Linked DNA regions of Macaca mulatta. The protein of the gene in region 1 interacts with the protein of each later gene in a biochemical or structural test. Links are inferred from orthologs where the notes say so. Each region holds a gene or a part of one and is shown in the gene's direction. Other genes may lie near its edges.

The links.
Region 2: the proteins of SORT1 (region 1) and BDNF form a complex in vitro, tested with the Homo sapiens proteins (2 studies listed by BioGRID and IntAct, with this or other methods). The link is inferred for Macaca mulatta from reciprocal best matches to the Homo sapiens genes SORT1 and BDNF.
Region 3: the proteins of SORT1 (region 1) and NGF form a complex in vitro, tested with the Homo sapiens proteins (3 studies listed by BioGRID and IntAct, with this or other methods). The link is inferred for Macaca mulatta from reciprocal best matches to the Homo sapiens genes SORT1 and NGF.
Region 4: the proteins of SORT1 (region 1) and SORCS1 form a complex in vitro, tested with the Homo sapiens proteins (2 studies listed by BioGRID and IntAct, with this or other methods). The link is inferred for Macaca mulatta from reciprocal best matches to the Homo sapiens genes SORT1 and SORCS1.

What each region holds. Positions count from the first base shown.
Region 1 is NC_133406.1:130,882,274-130,885,883, forward strand, and holds part of SORT1 (sortilin), read left to right. Parts: intron 1-660; coding exon 661-851; intron 852-2,618; coding exon 2,619-2,808; intron 2,809-3,610.
Region 2 is NC_133419.1:37,581,892-37,586,287, forward strand, and holds the start of BDNF (neurotrophic factor BDNF precursor form), read left to right. Parts: upstream 1-1,535; 5' UTR 1,536-2,161; coding exon 2,162-2,311; intron 2,312-4,396. UniProt on the Homo sapiens protein: Important signaling molecule that activates signaling cascades downstream of NTRK2. During development, promotes the survival and differentiation of selected neuronal populations of the peripheral and central nervous systems.
Region 3 is NC_133406.1:124,961,367-124,965,469, forward strand, and holds the start of NGF (beta-nerve growth factor), read left to right. Parts: upstream 1-1,295; 5' UTR 1,296-4,103. UniProt on the Homo sapiens protein: Nerve growth factor is important for the development and maintenance of the sympathetic and sensory nervous systems.
Region 4 is NC_133414.1:119,346,922-119,351,122, reverse strand, and holds the start of SORCS1 (VPS10 domain-containing receptor SorCS1), read left to right. Parts: upstream 1-1,387; 5' UTR 1,388-1,629; coding exon 1,630-2,187; intron 2,188-4,201.

The sequences.
Region 1 (3,610 bases):
CTCAGGTGATTCACCTGCCTCAGCCTCCCAAAATGCTGGGATTACAGGCGTGCACCACCACAGCCAGCCTTAAATTTATTAATTTAAAAGCCACTTCTTACCTGGGTCACTCTCCTGTCTTTCCTTTGAAATAATTTCTGCAAAGATATTTACTTTCATACTCTCTCTGAACAAATCTCTTTTGCTTATCCTGTTAACCACAGACATTAAAAGTAAAAATAGTTGGCCGGGTGCGGTGGCTCACACCGATTATCTTGGGAGGCCAAGGCGGGAAGATTACCTGAGATCAAGAGTTCGAGACCAGCCTGCGCAACATGTGAAACTCCATTTCTACTAAAAATACAAAAATTAGCTGGGTGTGGTAGCACGTGCCTGTAATCCCAGCTACTCGGGAGGCTAAGGCATGAGAATCTCTTGAACCCACGAGGCAGAGGTTGCAGTGAGCCGAGATCGTGCCACTGCACTCCAGCCTGGTGACAGAGTGACACTCCATCTCAGAAAAAAAAAAAAAAAAAGATTAAAATAGTTGTCAGCCAATAAGCCATCACCTAAATGTGTAAGGGGTTTTGTCTGGTTTGGGGTCAAAAAGCCAGAGTGGTTTTCTGAATTCCCAGTATACGTGGATCCTCTGTCATGATCTTTCTCTAATCGTGGTTTCAGGTTCTCCACAGACGAAGGTCAGTGCTGGCAAACCTACACGTTCACCAGGGACCCCATCTATTTCACTGGCCTAGCTTCAGAACCTGGAGCGAGGTCCATGAATATCAGTATTTGGGGCTTCACAGAATCTTTCCTGACCAGCCAGTGGGTCTCCTACACCATTGATTTTAAAGATATCCTTGAAAGGAACTGTGAGTGTCTCCTTTGACCTTTTCTACCAGCAACCTAAGCCTATTTTCCTAAATAATCAATATGGTTTGATTTCTGTTAGCTGGAATCAGCAGATGCATATTCACATGAAAGAGGATTGACAGATGTTCTGTGCGGGTGATTAAGTAATGGAATGGCATCAGAAAAACAGCCTCCTCCTTGGTGCTAGCACTGTCCAGGAGAAATATGAGGGTCACATATGTCATTTAAATTATTCTGTCAGTTACATTATAAAAGTAAAAAGAAAGGTGATATTAATAAAATAAACTTAATATATACAAAATATTATTTCAACATTAAGCAGTATTAAAGGACCAGAAAATAGCTTCAGAAAAAGATTCATAATGTTCATTACACAGTGTTCCCGAAGTGTCACAAGCAAACCCTGATCTCAGTGCCAAACAAAGGTGCTGGCATTATATAAGAAATAAGGGGAATGGCCAGGCGCAGTGGCTCATGCCTGTAATCCTAGCACTTTGGGAGGCCAAGATGGGCAGATCACGAGGTCAGGAGTTCGAGACCAGCCTGGCCAACAGGGCGAAACCCCGTCTCTACTAAAAATACAAAAATTAGCCAGGTGAGGTGGCGGGTGCCTGTAATCCCAGCTAGTCGGGAGGCTGGGGCAGGAGAATCATTTGAACCCGGGATGAAGAGGTTGTAGTGAGCCAAGATCGTGCCATTGCACTCCAGCCTGGGTGACAAGAGCAAGACTCCATCTCAAAAAAAAAAAAAAAAAGAAGGGGGATAAAGGAAAACACTGGAAAAAGGATGACCTGTAGTTAAGTGTTGGCATGATGCAATAAAAGACTTAACATTTCCAGACACTTTAGTTGAATTTGGTTCTTTGAGACTCGTGAGCTCATTTCCTCAGTGTGTTGATTTAGTGACTCCTGAGGGAGCAGACCCTTGGTTTGGACCTTACTTTTCCATAAGACGTTCAAATAGATTTAATGCCTGAGGGTCGCTGTCATTTAAATCCATTCAGTAGTCTGTACAGAAGCTGGCTTGGGAGTTCTCCCCTCAGCAGGCAGTTTTCCAGTTACCCCTAAAGTTTAATGTCATTAAAAGATTTGTTAGGCACCTGCTCTTTAGCAGGATCTATGCTGGTCTTCATTTCCCGAAGGATAAAACCTAATCCACTGTCTTTAGGTCACAGCCTTTGAGTCGTTTTTCCAGTAGATGATACGACATACTAAGCCAGAAACTAGGTTCATCAGCAATCTGCATTTGAGAGCCGGTCAATTGGAGCTAGAAGTCTAGGAAGAGGATGTTTTCCCTTCTGCCTTAAGCCAGTGAACACATGGTGAAATTGAACCTGTGTTCTTGGCTAATTAGTCTTGTCCTAAACAAAGAGCTCCCTGGCCCTGAGTGGAAAATATCTGGTTGCTTACATCTGACAGCTCCTTGACTGAGGGCGTAGGTGTGCAAGACACACAGACAACAGCCTCTTAGTTTGGAAGGAACTAGAGAGATTTTCTATCCAGCTCCCACTTCAAAACAAGTAGGGTTTTTCCTAATCCTCAGATGGATGTTGAGATGGAAAGAATATTCTTTTGGCATGAGGAAATGCAATTGCTAGTAGGCTCTAGACTAGTGTAGCTTTCTGTTTGCAATTCCAAAATGAAGGAATAGGTTGAGTCAGACATTCCCACTTTCCCTCTCCTTGTTCTACCTATAGCCTGGCAGCTGCCTCCCGTGGGTGGGTTCTGTGCTGTGCACTTTTCCTGAACAGTCTGTCTCTCATTCAGGTGAAGAGAAGGACTATACCATATGGCTGGCACACTCCACAGACCCTGAAGATTATGAAGATGGCTGCATTTTGGGCTATAAAGAACAGTTTCTGCGGCTACGCAAGTCATCCGTGTGTCAGAATGGTCGAGACTATGTTGTGACCAAGCAGCCCTCCATCTGCCTCTGTTCCCTGGAGGACTTTCTCTGGTATCGGCATTCCTCAGATTTCTCTATCTCCCCTTCCCTGTTGGAGGAGGTGAAAGACAGTTTTCTTATAGGCTAACAAATATTGAAATCCAACCGGGCACCGTGGCTCACACCTGTAATCCCAGCACTTTGGGAGGTCGAGGCAGGTGGATCACTTCAGGCCAGGAGTTCGAGGTCAGCTTGGCCAACATGGTGAAACTCTGTCTCTACAAAAAAAAAAAATTAGCTGGGTGTGGTGGCACATGCCTGTAATCCCAGCTGCTCAGGTGGCTGAGACACAAGAATCACTTGAACTTGGGAGGCAGAGGTTGCAGTGAGCCAAGATCGCGCCATTGCACTCCAGCCGGGGCGACAGAGCGAGACTCTTGTCCCAAAAGAAATTGAAACCCTTTTCTCCAAGAGTGGAGAACTGCTGCTTCTTATCAAGGAAACTGAGGCACAGAGAAAGGAAACCAAAATTGTTAATAATTAGATAATATAATCATATTAGACAGTTAATGGGCAGAACCAGCAACGAACCCCAGAAATCCTGAGTTGACAGTGGTGGGAAGGAGAGAAGTGATATAAGAAAGAAGAGAAGCCAGGCGTGGTGGCTCACGCCTGTAATCCCAGCACTGTGGGAGGCCGCGGCAGGCAGATCATGAGGTCAAGAGATCGAGACCATCCTGGCTAACATGGTGAAACCCCATCTCTACTAAAAAATACAAAAAACTAGCTGGGCGTGGTCGGGGGCTCCTGTAGTCCCAGCTGCTTGGGAGGCTGAGGCAGGAGAATGGCATGAACCCGGGAGGCAGAGCTTGCA
Region 2 (4,396 bases), on another chromosome or scaffold:
AAACAGAAAGCTGCCTGCGGAATTTGGGTGTGGGCTTGGTGGGAGATTCCTCTGATACCCAGTGTTGTACCCCCAAGAGAGTGCTTCTCAAAGTGTGACTTCGGATTGTCTGCATTCGAATTGCTTGTGGTATTTATTAAAATTCTAATTCCTGGACCCTGCCCCACCCCTACTAAATCACAATTTCAGGAGGAAGGACCTTCATTTTAACACTCACTCAGGTGATTTTTATGCTCCGAGGAGGTCCAGGGACTCCGAGTTAAGTACGGTACTGCTGTCTTGTTCTTTATTCTAAATTTTAAGGTCTGCACAAATTGGTTGAACTAATGAGAATAAAATTTAGCCTTAAAGCAGAAACACAGGTAGACGGTTGACAGAGTTCATCAAACGGATAACTGAAAATGTCCTCTGGACCCTAGCCATATAAGTTCTCTCCATGGGTCTTGGCTACAGGCAAATGAGAACCCGAAAGACTATTTGCTCTTTTGCTGCGGGCAGTGGTGGGGGTGGAGGGCGGGGGAGGATTAACTGAGCCAGTTCTGCCCCCACCCTCGAATCCCCTACCCCCACTCTGGTTAAAGCAGAAGATTTTTTATTTATCTTTGCTGCCCTGGTTCGTTATTAAAAGGGTTAGCTTATATGTGTGTTTGCTGGGGCTGGAAGTGAAAACATCTGCAAAAGCATGCAATGCCCTGGAACGGAACTCTTCTAATAAAAGATGTATCATTTTAAATGCGCTGAATTTTGATTCTGGTAATTCGTGCACTAGAGTGTCTATTTCGAGGCAGCGGAGGTATCATATGACAGCGCACGTCAAGGCACCGTGGAGCCCTCTCGTGGACTCCCACCCACTTTCCCATTCACCGCGGAGAGGGCTGCTCTCGCTGCCGCTCCCCCCGGCGAGCTAGCATGAAATCTTCCTGCCTCTGCCGAGATCAAATGGAGCTTCTAGCTGATGGGGTGCGAGTATTACCTCCGCCATGCAATTTCCACTATCAATAATTTAACTTCTTTGCTGCAGAACAGAAGGAGTACATACCGGGCACTAAAGACTCGCGCCCCCTCCCCCCTTTAAGCAAAGAGAACGTGAAAAAATAATAGAGTCTGGGAGTTTTGGGGCCGAAGTCTTTCCCAGAGCAGCTGCCTTGATGGTTACTTTGACAAGTAGTGTCTGAAAAGGTGGGTTTGTTTTCTTTCTTTCTCTTTCCGTTTTTCTGTTTGGTCTGCTAGAAAGCGTGTGGCTTTAGCGAGGTCTGTCATTGCCTGGGCTTCCTGGCTGGAACAAGTAACTTGGTGTAACGTTATCTGGGGGCGTTCATCAATAAAAAATGCTGTTGTTATCTTGATTGAATTCCTATTAGGCAAACTCTAGAGAGGTCAGTGCGCGAACTCTGTTTAAGCCGGCGTGTTTAAGGCAGCGGAGTAAACCAATAGCCCCCATGCTCTGTGCGATTTCATTGTGTGCTCGCGTTCGCAAGCTCCGTAGTGCGGGAAGGTGCGGGAAGGTGTGTCTGTGGCCCGGGAAAAGCACGCCCATTCCCAGAGAACTTAGGTGCTGGGATGGGGAGGAAGGGGAGAGTTGAAAGCTAGGGGAGCAAGACCTCAGGGCGTGCGATCCTCACTCGCTCCCTCACGCCCCAGCGCGCACAGCCGGGGTTTCTGCAGAGGGCGCGGGACGCGGGGTTCCCCGGGGCTGGGGCTGGGGCTGGAACACCCCTCGAAGCTGCGGGCGTCCTGCCCAAGGCGCCCCGGGAGGGCGCAGGACTCGCAGGATGATGTCGCGGGGACCTGGGGGAGGACGTGAGGACAGGCCCTGGGGGAGCGGGGAGTCCCAGGCGCCCCTCGGTCCCCCGGGCGAGAAAAAGGCGCGGCGTTCCCTTTAAGCAGCCGCCCCGAACGGGTATCGGTAGCGCGGGCGAGCGGGGGGAGGGGGGCGGGGGGGTGGCGCCGTTTGACCAATCGAAGCTCAACCGAAGAGCTAAATAATGTCTGACCCGGGCGCAAGGCGCAGCCTGGAGCTCCGGGTCCCAGCCGCTGCCGCCGCCGCGCCCGGGCGCACCCGCCGGCTCGCTGTCCCGCGCACCCCGTAGCGCCTCGGGCTCCCGGGCCGGACGGAGGAACCGGCCCGGTGCGCCTCCCATCTCCTGCTCGGGGGGCTTTAATGAGACACTTGAATGCAGCTGCCACCGCTGCTGTGGGGCCGGCGGGGAGCAGCACCGCGACGAGGACCCGGGCTGGGCGCTGGAGCCAGAATCGGAACCACGATGTGACTCCGCCGCCGGGGACCCGTGAGCTTTGTGTGGACCCCGAGGTAGGCAAGCGCCGGGCATGGGGCTTGGTACGGGAGCTGCCGGTCCGCAGGAGAAAGTTGACTGGGGGACCCCCCAAAGTTGTGGGACGAGGCCAGTCTCCTTCTTTCCTCCCCGCCGGTAGAAGGGAGGATTTGGAGTTGCTCCTGGGGAGTTTTCTCCCCCATCCCACAACCCAGAAGGTCACCCGGCACTACCAGGGAAAAAGGGACCCGGGGAAGGCACGAAGTAGAGGACAGAAGGCCTGGAGGAGACCCAGAGCTGCGTGATGGGAGCCAAGACGGCGACCCGGGGATCCCTCGCAGTCCTCCCCCACCCCAGGAGGAGTCGAGAGAGACTTAGGGGGCCAGAGCTGTCGGGGGCCCTGACTGAGGGAAGGGTGCTGAGGCTAGGCTAGGAATCCTTCCAGGGGTTGGGTGGTCCCCGCGCCGACCTGTGGGGGGAGTGGGAGGGAAGCTTGCGCCTTGAGTCCGCGTCGTCCCCGGGACTGCACACGGCTACCTGCTCCCCAGGAGTTGAGACTGAAGTGGATTTACAAGTCCGAAGCCAATGTAGCTTAGAAAACTTGGGAGGCGGAATTACTACCGCTCGGAACTGAAAGGGTCTGCGAGACTCCCGGGCGGGCCGAACCCACATCTCTACCCAGCCTGCGCCCCTCTTCTGAAGCGCCCTCCAAGGAAGTTAGAGTTTTGACTTTCGGGGACTAGGTGGGATATAGGTGGGGGATTCCTTACTCGGGTTAGTCTCTGGGGATGCAGAGCCGGGAAGAATGGGTGAGAGTGAGTTGCGCCTGGAAAGAAATAGCTGAGGATTGGGGGCTCTGTGCCCGACGGGCAAGAAGAAGGGGAGATTACAGACTAGGGGCAGCCCTAAGGAAGAAGCCTTGGGGCTGCGAGGGTGAACTGGAGGATGCAGTGTTTTTGTGTTGGGGGTGGAGCAGGGATGAGGGACCGAGGTGGAGGGGAGGCAAGGAGGAGGAGGGGACCCGGAGAAGGAAGCTAGGGAAGGTAGAGGGTGCCCTCTGCCGGCCATGCTGCCAAGAGCAGCTCCTGGGGGCGGGAGGCTGGGGGTGGGGAAGTGGTAAGGGAAGGTTTTGCGGGATCCCTTAGAGAGCTGGTAGGAGGGACTTGTTGAATGGTGCTGCTGACTCCAGCTCGGTAGGGCATGCGACTCGTCGTCGGTGGATTTTGACTCCTTGTTCTTGTTTGGCTTCTATGCAAGTTTTCCTCGCGCTGGGGGAGCTCTGATAAGCCTCGATTGGTGGTGTGTTAGGGCTTCTTGGATCTTATTTTAGGGCCCTCTAGGTATCTTACACTTACTCTCAATGTCAGTAGCAACCAAAGAACGTTTTCCAACAAGCACGCAGGAATGTTCTTGGCCAGAAGCGAAGAAAAGCATATTTCTGAGTGTTTATTAATCCTCCTAGTACAGTTATCTTTTAAAGCAAAGTAGTATGCAATTGGGAACGTTGATTTTCTAACTGCATATAAAAGGCGATATGCTATTAAATGAGACCCCTCCCTACTGGCTCAATATCCTGAAAAATCTCTCTCTCCCCTTTATTATTATCGAAAAATCTATTTTTATATGAGTTTGTTGTAAGGTCAAAAGCCATTTCGGTCTTACAATTTGATATGTCTTTACATTTTAATTTATTGAGCCATAATTACAGATTTAATTTGTCTGAACGTGTGTGCCTTCAATGCTTACCTCATGCAACATAATTTTTAGGTTGGAGATTTCTGATGTTATGACATGTAGCGATTCAAGACATTACACATAATAGGTAACATAGCATGTTGAAATTACACCACAAAGTTTTGACCCTGGGAACAGCACCTTTTAAAAACCATCACTAAACACCTGTTCGTGTTTTCTGATTTTTGCAAATGCCTTGCTTGTGACTTTTTATTTTTTTATTTTTGTTTTTTGGTAAATTTACCTCTGGGTGAGCAGGAGAGGTAAGAGAAAGGAAAGAGACACTTGTTGAAATGTAACCATAACCTTTACTGGAATTTAAAACATGTTGGTCACCATTACTGGAATTCCAGCGCCATAAAGTCGTTGTCTTTTTTTTCTTCTACTTC
Region 3 (4,103 bases), about 5.9 Mb from region 1:
AAGATTAGTAGGTTAAAAACTATGGGCATTTCTACAGTTTTAAGTATAATATTGTCAAATTATTTTAAAATACATGATTCTGTTTACAAAAGCTATTCATAGTTTGCCTAGAATGATGGTTTCCAGCTTCATCCATGTCCCTGCAAAGGAACATGAACTCATCCTTTCTTATGGGTGCATAGTATTCCATGGTGTATATGTGCCACATTTTCTTTATTTAGTCTGTCACTGATGTTCTCACTCATAAGTGGGAGTTGAACAAGGAGGACACAGGGACACAGGGAGGGGAACATCACACACCGGGGCCTTTCGGGGAGTCGGGGGCTAGGGGAGGTATAGCATTAGGAGAAATGCTTAACGTAGGTGACAGATTGACGAGTGCAGCAAACCACCGTGGCATGTGTATACCTAGATAACAAAACTGCCATTCTGCATATGTATCCCAGAATTTAAAGTATAATAATTATTTAAAAAGCTTTTCATAGTTTATTTCAAAATATTTACAAAATATAGAACAGTATAAAGAATAAAACAAAAATCACCCATAATCTCGTAATTCAACTACTGCCAACACATATTGTATTTCCTTCTAGTCTTTATTCCCTGTGTCTGTCTTTAATATATGCATCTATCTAAAATTAGTTTTATTATAATATTATCAAGTCCTGGCTTCCTAAATGAGCAGGTATGACTGCTCTAAGGCATAACAAAGGGGTCTTATTAGAGTGCAAAGGATGGCTCAAAGGCTACCTGATTGCTTCAGGTATCCCAGTAGCCTTCTCCACTCATTCTGCTAAAGATCACTTATCTTCCCTCCTTGCCAATAGGACTGTCTGGCATTCCTGTTAAATGGAGCCTAACTGATCACATACAGGGACTGCATTCTAAAATCAATGTCTGAAAGGCCTTTGAACTGTAACCGACTTTACCTTTGAAAATCCCTGAGGAAGGAGCCGTGTTGGAGAACCATTAGTGTCTCTCAATAAGTTCAACCAGCTAGTTATTCCTCCAGTGAGAACTAGTTGCTCTTTCTTGGGTTGAGCACAAGACAAAGTAGTTGGCTTACAAGGGGCTATATTTTTTTTTTAAAAACACCAATCTTTAACACCAATATCATGCAGAATGAAAGTTGAATGGGAAGCAACTCTGACTGAAGAATGGTATATTCAAATCTTAGCCTCACATAGTCATTTGTGGAATGACACTAAGAATCACCCTTACTTTTTAAGTGGTTCATCATTTTCACTCTTTCTTTCTCTCACTTTCTGTCTTCTTTCCTCCCTTCCTTCCTTTCTTCTTTACCTCTTTCATTGCTTCCTTTTTCTCTCCTTCTTTTAATCTTTTTCTGATTACATATAACTGAATCTACACAAGTTTAATGCTCTTATAACAAAAGGCCATGACAGTCATTCATACTGAATTGGACACTGCTCATAACAGGGAATTCCACCACAACTGGCAGCCCATTTCTTTAGTTGAATATCTTTAGAAACCTCATGTTGAAGTAGCACTTGCCTCTCTTCCAGTTCTGCCCGCTGTGTTTCCTGGAATGATGGAGAGCAGCTCTTCTCAGACTCCCTGTGAAAGCCTTCCTGAAGTTCTAACATCCGTACTTCATCCAACCCATTTTTGTTATGGTGTGGTTTTTCAGGTGCCTCACCTTCCTGGTTTGCCTTTAACACCTGCCACTCTGGGAAGAGAATGACTGTGGGTCTTGGGCAAAGCCTATAGCCTTCATCAGCCTGTTCACTGACCAACTGCACAGCAGTGACAGGGGCATGGCAGTGGCACAGAGCAATGGTGGAAGCACATCCCTGAGACAGCCTCTCTGTGGCCCCAGCTCCAGCAGCCTGCATCCCAGATTTATGGATGGCACCTGGTAAAGCATGATGCAAACTCAATGTGAAATCCAAGTACATCATCATCTATCTCTGTATTTGGTTTGGGGTTTTATTAATGACAGAGGATGTGATTAAACAAAGTTTACACTGTAACTAACTCCAGCTGGATCCAAGCATCAATGGGAAACCCCAATTCCCTTGATGTTGTCCTTGTGTCCTTTCTACTCACAATTTCTTTTCCAAGGCATTTTCTCTGAATCTGATAATGGTGAGGTCATATAATCTCATTTATTTTAAGAGACAGTCTGGCACGCCCAGCCCAGTGGCCCTGCAATGAAGGACTTTTGTGTTGAAGATGCTGTGAGCCCTTGGATATGGCCTTATCCTAACCTATGAGATGAAATCACTGTTTCATTCTGCCAAGGCAATGTTATCATTGGGTTTGGGATTATATTTGACATTTTTCCAGCAGAAATCATATTCTAATAGACTCTAAACTGAAACATCATCATGCATAATCTTGTAAGATTACCAGAAGCCGGTTCAGTGAAATTTGGGTTCTTTCGGTAGAGTTGTTGCTTATTATAAAATGGCTATGATTACCTATTCCTTGGACTTTTTCTCTAGGGAAATTCAGGAATCACATCTCACCAGCACAAGCTGAGTACATCACTGTAAGTCTGCTTGTGATTTGTGCAGTGATTTCTTCCTCCTCACCAGAGCTGAGGTTGAGATTATCTTCAAAGTCTTTCCTCAGTCTCTGTCTCTCTGATCTTTCTCTCAGCTTCTCTCTCTCTTGCTGGCATTGCTCCTTTGCCCTTTGGATCTCCCTCCACACCCTCCTTTGCTTTCTCCACTCCCCTCTGTTACTTTCCTGCTTCCCCTTCTTCTCATTTACTCTTTGCTCTCATTCTCTTACTCCCCTCCTCTCTCAATTGCGTCCCACTATAGCGCCAATGTTCTCTTTCTACTATTTCAGTTTTCCTCTACAATAACATCAGGTTTCCTAAGGGTAAGACAAATCCCAGCTCACTTAGTTTGTTCCAGTGCCTATAGGTGTTGGGGTGATCTCATTCCATCTGTTCAGGATTCATCCATTCATGCCACCACATTCAACAAGCTCCAGGATGATGGGAAATGAGACAGCCATTTCTCCCTCTGTCCCTGACCTGGGCTTAGCCCCAGGATGGCTCCTAACTGGAATCAGCAGATCCAGCACCAGGGCCAGGGCCACCAATCATCAGTACCAACATTGTCAGATATCCCATAGTGCCCAGTGGTGACAGGACCAAACTGCATAATTAATGGCCATGTTGTGCTCTTCTGATGTGCCTGCCAAAATGTCACTGTTACCCTGTAGGTGACAGCCATTGTTCACTGATGAAGAGCCTTCCTCTAATTTGCACCATCATACTCACTATTCTTGAGAAGCTAAAAGAAGATGGTGGCTTTATCTCTTTTAAAGAGAGTTTCTAGAGGCAATGGGCTGGTGGGCTAGAGCAACTTCCAGAGTTTCACCCAGTGCTTGTAATGAAAACCACCAATTTGCTGTATACATAGCAATGTAATTCCTAATATTAAGCTATCGACTGAACTCACTATGGCAAATCAGAAGATGGTTCTTTCTCTTCTGGTTATGTTTTTTGTAGTGCGAGATTTTTATTATTCTAGAAAAAGGCCATTTCACCTGCTAACGATGAAAGCAAATGTCTTGCCTAAAACAAACAAACAAACAACATACCGCTGATGGTAACTCAACCTCCTCTTTTTTTGCCTTATGATTTACTTCTGTTATATGAAACAGTCACTGCTGAGAGCATGAAGCCTGGACAATTGAATCCTGATTGAGCAACTCACATGAATTCTGGGAAATAAAGTCAACAATTCACAAATTGAATCCACTTCTGAATGTTCATCCACCAAGGACTCTTGACATTCGATCTCTTTGCATTTCTGCTCAATGTTTATTGCTTTCCACTCGTCCCTCAAACCAAAGTCTTTGCTTGGTAATTTCTTGTTTTAGAAAGTGACAAACAGACCAAGCAGAGAAAACACTGTATGTTTTGGACTAAAAATGAAATCATTAGGGTAAGTTTCTATTCTTGTCGACTGGAATTTTACTCTGGTTTTGATTAAGCTCAACAAAGATATTATATTTGATGCTTTCCTGTAAATGTATGAGATGGTTTGCTATTGCATGTCCATGAATGGAAATATTAACAGTCTCCACTTGGCTCCATCAGCCTCTGGCTTGGTCTTCAC
Region 4 (4,201 bases), on another chromosome or scaffold:
GGTATAACAGACATTTTCTTGGACATTAGAAATAATTTAATTAATTGAAGAGTAATTATCCCTCAGTATTACTTTGAACAAAGAATTCTGAAACCATTTCAACCCTTAGAAGCAAACTGTCTACTTTAAAAAGGATTGGATTTTGAGAAATTCTTTGCCATTTTCAAAGCCCATTCACCTGCTATAAATCTTCATCTGAACTTATGAACAGTAGCAGAGGTGCTAGGCTGGGCACATACTATAATCATACAATTATAGAATTTTAGGAGCAGTAGGGATTTTAAAGGTCATCTAATGTGACCATTTAATTTTAAAGCTTAGGAAGCTAAGAGATTGTGATTTGTCTGAGGTCCCAAAGCAAACCACTGGCAGAGCACCATCACAGACTTTCTAATAGGGATCGCAAAGCATGTGACAGTAGCACTGGATCAGGCACTGAATGACACAGAATAACTATAAGTACTGTGCCTCCTTTCCTGTATTTATTTGTTATGCAGATATGCGTTAGACTCACAATACACATTTATTGAACTAATGACTGGCAGATTTCCTCCCATGTAGGATACTGTGCCATGTACTGAGGAAAATGATAAATAAAAACCAGATCACTTCCTCCAAGTTGCTCTAAATTTGATCTTCCTGTCCTCAGTGAGTTTGCAGTCTCTTAGGGAAACCAAGATATATCTGCTTAAAAAACGCCTAGTGGAAAACGTTTTCTTAAATATGATTGCATGCACGAAGATTGGGTTCAAATTCAATGAATGCTTTAGGAGGTTAGGAGATAAATATAAGCGTTGTAATTGATGGGAAAAAAATCCCCCAAACTAAAACACACACACACACACACACACACACACACACACACACACACACACGATCATTTAATTACATCACTCTCTGCTGCTGCCTTTCCGAGATCTCCCCCAGGCTGGGACACACAGCCTGTGCTCCGGGTAAGGTCAAGATGCCAACTCAGGAAGCATAAGAGAGGGGACGAGCAGAAGCCCACCCATCTGTATCTCCTCAACTAGCAAAGGCGAGAAAGACGGAGAAAAAAGGAAACAGCAACACAGACTGATAGAAACAATAAAGCAGGAATAGGAAGCTCCCGACACAGCGACTGCTCTGGGAGCCCGGGGTCGACCGCCCCCGCGGGCAGGGTGCGCGGACTCAGCGGTGGGACCCGCGGCCGCGGGGGCACAGAGTGGGCGGCAGGAGAGGCGGCGGCAGCGCCTGCGAGGCCGAGGGGAGGTCGCCGGAGGCGCCTCCAGCGCCCGGAGACCCGGTGCGCAGCGCAGCTCGGCCGCGGGACGCGGCGCCCGGAGCCCCGGCAGCGCCCGCCCTCCCTCCCGCGTTGCCCGCCAGCGCCCGCGCCCGCTCCGCCAGTGACTTCAGCTCAGCTCCACCCCCGCGCGGCGGCGGCTCGCTCCGTCCGGACCCGCGCTCTGCACAAGCCCAGCCCGGGCGAGCGGCCGCCACCTGCCTGGCGCCGCCTCCGCCCGCCCCCACCGCGGCCCAACTTGGATGGAGTTGGGGTCCTGAGCGCCGGCCCCCCACAGCCGCCAGCGCCGAGCTCCGCGCCGCCACCTTCGGTCCGGGACCCTCTCTCCGCTGCTCTTCGCTCCCGCGATGGGAAAAGTTGGCGCCGGCGGCGGCTTCCAAGCCCGGCTGAGCGCGCTCCTAGCCGGCGCGGGGCTCTTGGTCCTCTGCGTCCCGGGCGTCTTCGGCGGCGGCTCTTGCTGCCCCCCGCCGCACCCCAGCTCGGCCCCACGCTCGGCCTCGACCCCTAGGGGCTTTTCTTACCAGGGGCCGCCAGGCAGGGCTCCTGCCACGCCCCTGCCCCTCGTAGTGCGCCCCCTGTTCTCAGTGGCCCCCGGGAACCGAGCGCTGTCCCTGGAGCGGGCTCGGGGCACTGGAGCATCCGTGGCGGTTGCTGCACGCTCCGGCCGGAGGAGACGGAGCGGTGCGGATCAGGAGAAGGCAGAACGGGGAGAGGGCGCGAGTCGGAGCCCCCGGGGAGTGCTAAGAGATGGAGGGCAGCAGGAGCCTGGTACTCGGGAGCGGGACCCGGACAAAGCCACCCGCTTCCGGATGGAGGAGCTGAGGCTGACCAGCACCACGTTTGCTCTGACGGGAGACTCAGCACACAACCAAGCCATGGTCCACTGGTCTGGCCACAACAGCAGCGTGAGTAGAATGGGACTAAGGGCAAAGGAGTGGAAAGATGGAAAGGGTTAAAGTCGGCTGTGTGATCTGGTGGAGAATTGGGGGGAAATAGGGTTTCTGGACTTGGGAGATGCTGCAAACTGGTCTTTGCCCACTTCCCCCAAGAGTTAACATCACCTGCTAGGAGACTAGCCTCCCCATCTCTCCCACCAACACCATCAGAGTCCTCTCCAAATGCCACAGTTTCAAACTGAGGAGTCAAATCCCTATTTCTTGTTGCCTTGGTCGCACTGGTGTGTGAAACTGAAGACCAGACAAACAGAGGGGTTAAAGTTCTCCTAATACAGAGACGAAAGGGTTAAATTTCCAGGCAGGCTGACATCCCCTCAAGTGACTTTCCCTTTACTTGCCAGACTTATGTACTGGCTCAAGGAAGATTAAGAAGACCCATGTATGTAGGCGTTTTATTTTATTTCCATTTAATTTCATGCAGAGCTCCTAACCCCTTCTTCCCCACAAGGGAGAACTGCAGTGGAGAGTATAGGGTGTTCTTTAGTGTATCCTCTGCTTTAGGGGACCAAGTGGATGCAAGTTTCAGGACAGGAACTCTCCAGCATCTTCTAACAGCACTAAGCGAGTGTGTTTTGAGAACTGGGGCTTTCCAGTCTGTGAATGAGCGGTTGTTCTCTGGCATGGTCAGTCTCAGGAAAATCAGATATATCCCAGTGACAACAACTCCCTGTTCTCCCCCATTGCCTGACCTCCTCTAATGAAGAGCACAAATAAAGACTTAACATACCCTTTATGAAGGCAGGAAAGGGATTGCTCAATTCCAGGAGGCTGGATTCCAGGGGACTTAGGATGCAAGTCCATGAGCTTTGGTCATATCAGGAAAGGTTTTAGATTTTCAGAAAAGCTTGCTTGTCTGCAATCTGAGGGAGCTATTCCCATTGAAATTGAACCTGGAAACTTCAGTGAGTAGAAATAATAAAGAACCAGCTTTGATTCTAATAACTAACAATGATTTTAAAGTGTGGAAACTTCTCCAGGCATAGACAAGAACATAAAAACCAAGGATGGGTAAAATGGGGGAAAAAATTTTCAAGTTTTACAGCTTCACCCAGGTAATTGAGATTGTAGTGTTTGTAATATGCACAATCTACACATTCTGGTACCTTTCAGAACGTTTTCCGTTGTGATGTAATTCCCAGAAACCTTCCCAGAGAAGTGCCACTTTAGTGAGTTGTGCTCATTGTCAGCTTTTAAATGAGAGTTGTGAACATTTTAAAATGCTAGTCTGTCATCATGAATTCCTTGGGTACTTAGATATAAATTGTATTAAGGCAAATCATGATAGATAATATTTAGTATTGATTGATGTATCTGTCCTGAGAGCGGTAGCAGGGTTTTCCCTACAATTCCTCCTTCATGACAGAGGCTGTGGTTTTATATGGTTCTCAGGAGTGGTTTGATCAAATAAATGAAGCTGAAATTCTTTCCATTCAAGTTCTGGAGACCCTTGCCCTCATCCCTTGCCTTAACTATTTTATCTTTCATATCATAGCCACTAAAATTAATCCTCTAATTTGAACTCAAATCTTCTTAAACTGATTGAATAACTTTCACACTGCTTTAAGTGATAAACTCAAAGCTTCTGGCTTTGAGGGGAGATTTTAAACACATCAAACATGTTAGCTCTTGTTGTATTAAGAAGTAAAAGACCTTGGACTCAAAATGTTTCTGGCTTTTAATGTAATTCAAGCTGTAAAATATCACTCACCCATTAGACCTCTTTTTTTTTTTTTTTTTTTTAAGCTCATCTCTTGAAAGATCTTGGAAAGAAAGAGAAAAGTAGAATACATCTTTGGCAAATTTTTAACCTCCATTTAGGAAATGGTGCCAAGCACTGCCAGCATTAAAAAATAATAATAAATGCTGCTTATAATTCTAGTAGGGCTTGTTAGGGTCAGGGCATTGAACATGCAGGCAAGTCTGAGATAATGTAGGAAATAAGGTGATAAGTGTTAAAGTTTTG